2 linked regions of the Sus scrofa genome follow. The protein of the gene in region 1 interacts with the protein of each later gene in a biochemical or structural test. Links are inferred from orthologs where the notes say so. Each region holds a gene or a part of one and is shown on either strand. Other genes may lie near its edges.

The links.
Region 2: the proteins of MAP3K7 (region 1) and TRIM31 form a complex in vitro, tested with the Homo sapiens proteins (2 studies listed by BioGRID, with this or other methods). The link is inferred for Sus scrofa from reciprocal best matches to the Homo sapiens genes MAP3K7 and TRIM31.

The regions. Positions count from the first base shown.
Region 1 is NC_010443.5:58,516,659-58,520,176, forward strand, and holds part of MAP3K7 (mitogen-activated protein kinase kinase kinase 7), read right to left. Parts: intron 3,096-3,518; coding exon 3,014-3,095; intron 47-3,013; coding exon 1-46. UniProt on the Homo sapiens protein: Serine/threonine kinase which acts as an essential component of the MAP kinase signal transduction pathway. Plays an important role in the cascades of cellular responses evoked by changes in the environment.
Region 2 is NC_010449.5:22,671,218-22,674,735, forward strand, and holds part of TRIM31 (E3 ubiquitin-protein ligase TRIM31), read right to left. Parts: intron 2,123-3,518; coding exon 2,048-2,122; intron 770-2,047; coding exon 718-769; intron 716-717; coding exon of another isoform or gene 705-715; intron 1-704.

The sequences.
Region 1 (3,518 bases):
TCACTTTTATTACTGGTATTTGTAGATGCAATGTCCATGAATGAGCCTAGGAAAGCAGAAACATTTATGACTATAGGTTAGGAATAATACAAATGCTTCATTCAATAAAATGTAACTTTAAATTATTTTCTAAGCTAGCAAGATACAGACAGAAATAAAATACAACTTTTCAAGCTAATGAAGATACCCAAATAAACCCATTTTAAATGAAATTTAAGGACAGCACTTTAAATTTAAGAGGGAACTAAAATGCCTAAAATTCTTCTGAGTCAAGGTTGACTTTTAAGATTCTTAGCCTGAGCTAGCAGAATGGAGTGGCAATTAATCAAGATGGGGAAAACCATGGACGAATGAGTATGAAGGGAGCTAAATTTGGAAAATGGTAATTTTGAGTTCCTATTAGATATTAAGCAAGTAGTTGGATATATAATAAGTGTCGAGTTTAGGTCTGGGGTGGAGCAAAGCATTGGCAAATACATAGTATATAAAGCCATGACTTTGGATGAAATTACCAAGGAAATGAGTTTACAAAAATAAACAAAGAGGCCAAATGCCTGAACCATGGGCACTCTGACATTGATAGGTTGGGAAAATGAGGATTAAGCAGCATAGGAAACCATAAAAACAAGTGCTCAGAGATGTAAGATGAAATCCAGGGTAGTATACTATCCTAGAGACCAACTCAAAGTGCTGAAGGAAGTAGAGAGTAATCAGCTGTGTCAAAGGCTACTGAGAATCAAAAAGCATGAGAACTGAAAATTACTCACTTAGATTTAGTACTGTGAAGATAAATGGTGACCTTGACAAGAGCAATTCTAGAGACGTAATTAATCTAATATAGAAGCCTGAAAAGACTGGGCACAAGAAAGAATGGATAGAGACATGCAAATATAGACTACCCCCCGACCCTTATCTGTGGAGGTGAAGTTCCAAGACCCAGGTGGATGCCTAAAACTTTGGATAGTACCGTTTTTTTCTTATACATATATACCTACGCTAAAGTTTAATTCATAAATTAGGCACAGTAAGAGATTAACAACAGTAATTAAAAATAAAATAGAACAATTACAAGAGTGCATTGTAAAAAATGTTACAGGAATGTGGTCTCTCTCAAAATTACGTCTTACTGTATAGACTTAACACCTTTTCTATCTAATTAAGCACTTATCCTGCACTGTGGCTATAATGTTTGCAGTCTGAGGTGTGACAAGAAAACCAGCACAAATTTCTTTTTCCTTCTGCACAAATTCATGATGGAATTTCCTAGATCTCAGCATACAATTTTTTTTTCTTTCCTTATTAAAATCAAGACCTTTCACCTTTTCACTTAAAGGAAACACTTGAAGGCTTCTCTTTGGCATATCCGAACTGCCAGCATCACTACTCTTGCATTTTGGAGCCATTATTAAATAAGGGTCACTTGAACACAAGCACTGAGATACCACGACAGTAGATCTGACAACCACAAGGGCTACAGAGTGACCAAGAGGCAAGATATACTGGACAAAGGGGTAATTCAAGTACGAGGCAAGGCGGGGTGAGATTTCACCACACCACTCAATATGGCTGCAAGTTAAAACATATGAATTATTTAGTTCTGGAATTTTCCATTTAATATGTTCAGACTGCAGTTGACCACTGGTACCTGAAACTGCAGAAAATGAAATTAGGGACAAGTTGGGGGGTGGGGGGGACTACTGTATATATGCTCTGAGAGTGAACCCAATAGAAAGGATACAACTGATGATGCAAGAGACAGAGAAGAACTGATGAAGAGCAGAGAGGATATGATGCATAAGGATATAGGTGTGCCTTTGGCTGGTAGCTTGGATAGGTCAGCCAGGAGAACAGAAGGGAGTGCAGAGCAGAGGGGCAGATACAGGAGGGTGGGCAGATGGAGTGGGGGGCTTGTGGCAGCTATCTTCTGATTATAGAGAAAGAGCAAAGAGGATTAGCTGGGAGTGAGGAGTGGAGAGGAGGTTTTTTTTTTTTTTTTTTTTTTTGTTGTTGTCTTTTTGCCATTTTCTTGGGCCGCTCTGCGGCATATGGAGGTTCCCAGGCTAGGGGTCAAATCAGCGCTGTAGCCACCAGCCTACACCAGAGCCACAGCAACGTGGGATCCGAGCTGTGTCTGCAACCTACACCACAGCTCACGGCAACGCCGGATCCTTAACCCACTGAGTAAGGCCAGGGATCTAACCCGCAACCTCATGGTTTCTCGTCAGATTCGTTAACCACTGAGCCACGACGGGAACTCTGAGGAGGTGTTTTTAAGAGAAGCTCACGTTAGCATTCAGAGCAACTCAAAAAACTGTAATTTGGGAATAACCAGCCAAATAGTAAACTAGCTTAAAATATTTTTGAAGAGGGGGAAATGGACCAGTAAAATATTTGTCAGTAAAAACAAAATTCTAAATATGGAATAAGTAAATTCACACCTATGTGTTTCAGTTTTAATCAAATTATTGACGAAAAATACTTAAAATAGCATATCTTTTGAGAAGAACAATTTTTTTAAGTTAGAGTATTATTTTTACTATCTTTTTTGATGACTACAAACTATGGAACTGAGGAACACTGAACTATAACACAGCTTTTTAGAGTCTCCATAGATTCTTCTACGAGGACCAAAAGGTAGGTAGGGTGTTCATGATAAAAAAAAAAGTTGTTTTACATATATACATATTTACAATAATTTCTGATACTATCTGATCTAGCAATATCTGTGTAAGAACTATTTTCAAATAAAGAACAACATTCACAGCAATATAATATCCAGTCTTTCTATATATGACTAAGAATTTCAAGACTTAGAAGCAGGTCTTCAGTAACTCTTTAATCTGGATACCTGCATGAAGAATGATGCACCTGGAAATTCAAATTGCAGTCAATCACATTAAATGAAGAAATTAAAATGCAAATGAAGACATCATTCATTGCTTCTTGATTATAATTTCATAGGAATAGAGATAGAACAATTTTATGTTATTACTGTTCCAATCTATCCATTTACCTGTACTGGTGGCAGAGTTGCTCTGGCCTTCATCTGAATACTGACAGGGGTATTGTAATGGCTCATCTGCTCCTGGAAAGTACTATATATAAAAAAGTAAATAACAATTTAAAATTTCTTTAATACAAATTGAATCCTGTGAAAATTAACTTGAAGAGTACATGTGAATTACTTTCTTGTTGAGATTTGAATGCAGCAAAAATGCTGCTTTATTTTCAGTAAGGCATACGCTGAATTTGTAGATACCCAAGGATTTGATTTTACATAGATGACAATGTGCTATTCTTCTGAATTTCAACTGTGATCAATGCCATGTATCTAGCTATGTATCTATTTTACACAGTCTAGATAGTCTTGAAGAAAACAGCAAGTATTTCCCTAGAGGATCCTACGAAATACAATAGTATCATTCCTCATAATTACATGAAACATATTTATGTTCTCATAGCAGTGATGTGGAATCAAACTGCTGAAATGACTTAGTCTGACAACTTAGATGGTATGT
Region 2 (3,518 bases), on another chromosome or scaffold:
ACAAAAGTACACCCGAACAAGTTAGGGGTAAACTGATTGAATGGCACAGTATTTCCTGGGGCGGGGGTGTCCCACTCTGGGAAGGGGGAGGGGAGATGGATGAAATGCCTGCTATCTCCACCCCCATATGCCCATGCTGTCCTAGCTCTTAGCATCTGAAACCTTCAAGAACATTCAACTCCACTGCCCTTCTTCCTCTCCCAACTCCCAGGCCCTCTTAACAGTCTCTCTAAGTCCCTCTTTTCTTTTTATTTCTTTTTAGGGCCGCATCTGCGGCATTTGGGGTCGAATCAGAGCTGCCTACATCACAGCCACAGCAATGCCAGATCCAAGCCTAATCTGAGACCTACACCACAGCTCACAGCAATGCTGGATCCCCTGATCGAGGCCAGGGATTGAATCCGCATCCTCATGGATACTAGTCAGTTTGTTACCCGCTGAACCACAATGGGAACTCCCTCTAAACCTCTTTTTCTGCTCTGTCCCTATACCCCTCCAACCCAGGCTGGAACTGAGAGCAGCTCTTCATCCCCACCTAACTCCAGTCAGGGAGGGTGATGCTGTGTGTTGGGAAGTCCTTGTACAGTTGCTCACCATCCTTCCTATGCGGTGTCAGTTCAGTGCATTCCTATCTGTGCGTTTGGACTCCAGCTTTCCTGACTACACCACCTGAAGCCACCAGTGCTCAGAGGCTGGGCTCCTACCTGAAGGGCTTACTCAGGCTCCAAAGTTTCCATCGGTGTAGGATTGCTTTTCTCTAACAGGTACCCTAGGAATGGGGAGAGAAAACCAACTTTGGTCTCGATAACCAGAAACTTGCAAAATCCAAAACCAAACACCTGCCGCCATCAATAAGAACACGCATCAGTGGTTCTCAGTGGAGACTGCCCCCTTCCCCCCCCCCGTCCCCACCCATGGGGAAGTGTGGGAACCATTCAGATGGTCCTAGTAATGGCAGAGGGTGGGAGTGGGGGGGGCGATTCCCTACTGGCCTAGAGTGTTTCCGGGGGCCTGGACGGGACACACTCCACAGCACACCAGGCAGAGAGCACAGTGGGGACTTAACCTCTGCAAACACCAATAGCTCCTGTCATGGAGAACTGGGGGAGGAAGAGGACCGCGCTCCCTGGCTTTGGAAGGCATTATGTGGTTTCTGGTGTTGGCAAAATGTGTTCCAAGATTGTCTTTTTCAATTAGTAGTCACATGACTTGGGTAACTTAGCGCAGCTCCCTGGACTGGCAGGGAACTTACTGTAAATTGCTGATAATGACACGCATCCTTGGAGAAGAGCTGTGGGATTTTTGAACTGTTAGCTGTGGGGTGCTTAGCACACGTGGGCCTTTAAGAAAGGGTACTTCTAGTGTTACCTCTCGTGGGGCAGAGCCATCTCTGATGACTTTGGCCTCGGCTGCTGTTACAGTGGGGCTCCATCCCCTGAGCTGTCCCAGCCTTACAACCAGAAACACAGCCTACGGCTGGGGGCAGCGAATACTACAGAGATTGAGCTGCTTTTATCTTCTCTTTGTCTTACCTTTTCCTCCCTTACTCAGAGGCATGAAGAAATAAATATAAAATTTTCTATTATTTTTGGATACTTTTTTTTTTGGCTGCACCCATGGCATATGGAAGTTCCCAGGCTGGGGTCATGTCGGAGCTTTAGCTGCTGCCCACAGCCACAGCCACAGCCATAGCAACTTAGGATCTGAGGCGAATCTGTGACCTACACTACAGCTCATGGCAACCCCGGATCCTTAACCCACTGAGCAAGGCCAGGGATCAAACCCACATCCTCTTGGATACTAGTCGGGCTCATTACTGCTGAGCCACGACAGGAATTCCATTTGAATTACTTCTAAATGTGGGGATTGGTCATTGTTTTGTGAGTTACCTGAGTTCAAAATAATAAAACCTATCCATGTGCCTGTTCTTCTCAATTGATGAGAAATGGGCATCACCTATATTGGGCATTCATGTAATTGGAGTGACAGAATTCTTCCCCTTGGCTTTTCTCACTTTCCCCAAATGGCAGGAGCGACCATCACTTACAGCTCTTTATATAGTGCTTATCCAGGCCTTTGAGAAATCTGCTTTTATCTTTCTTGCCATCAGCCTGGCATTTGTCTGTGGAGAGAGAACAGAATGAGATGGAGAGAGCTCAGACAGGCTGAGCAAAGAACCCACAACCACCCAGCAGGGCACTGATTTCAAATGCTTCTGCAGAGTGGGGAGTTGGACTTGTCTCTCATCTTCTCAGTGGACCAAGAAGGTATGAAACTCTGAGAGATGCCCTTTCTGCTTCCCAAAGTGGCTCTCCAGCCCAGCACTGTCCCGTAGCGATACACTCCGAGCCACAAATAGCACTGAACATTTTCTAGCAGTCACGTTAACAAAGAGTAAAAAGAAGCTGATAAAAGCTCATTTTACTTGTATTTTCAGAATTAATGTTAATTATATTTTCCACTGCACCTGAGGCATATATGAAAGTTCCCGGGGCCTGGGATCTTTGGCCCTGGATCCTTAACCCAGTGCTCCCCACACACACACCGGGGCAGGGGGTAGGAATTGGGGGATCATGTGTGTGTGTGTGTGCGTGCCCGTGCGTGTGCACATGTAAGACAAAACAGACCACGCTCATCTCCACCACAAAGTGCGTCTTCGTAGCCCTCGCCTCCCTGCCCATATCCAGCCTGTGCTGAAGTGGAAAGGTAGCGGATCCCTGGAAATTCTGAACTGGACCTAAACTACTTTATTTTATTTGCTTTTTAGGACTGCACCTGAAGCATATGGAGGTTCCCAGGCCAGGGGTCAAATCAGAGCTACAGCTGCCAGCCTACACCACAGCCACAGCAACTTGGGATCCGAGCTGCGTCTGTGACCTACACCACAGCTCACAGCAATGCTGGATCCTTAAGCCACTGAGTGGGGCCAGGGATCAAACCCGCAACCTCATGGCTCCTAGTCGATTCGTTTCTGCTGCACCATGACGGGAACTTCAGAACTAAACTCTCTTAAACCTGAAGTGACTGTGACATTGTTGTGCGAGATACGATCACATCCTGTGGAATGGAAGAGCCAGACAAAGCAGAGCAGTTACTGGGGAAAAAAGCTCAAAACAACAAAATTACAAGCAAAACCACTGTTCTTTGTCTGTGTTTGGTGAGCGAAGATTCCTGGCTGAATGGATGGGTTCTTGGGGCCTTGTCCTCGTCCTCTTCTTCCAAAGGCACATGGGGGGGTGTGTGTGAATGGCTGGGGGGCTCTTGTGACATTTCCAGCAAGAAAACTCCATCCAGCTCTTTACCCCTGGCTTAGACAAGCACAGCCTTTGCAATGAAGGGGACTCACAAAAACATCTAAGCGCCTTCCTGGTCACAAACCCAGACAAGTTTCTGAAAACATCTAACCGAGTATCTAATGCCCAACTCATCCACCTCTGCCTGATGTCTGTCTCCCTGCAAGCCTGGAAGAGCAGTTTCCCCAGAATGTCATTGCCTTTTTGTTTGTTGGTTGGTTTGTT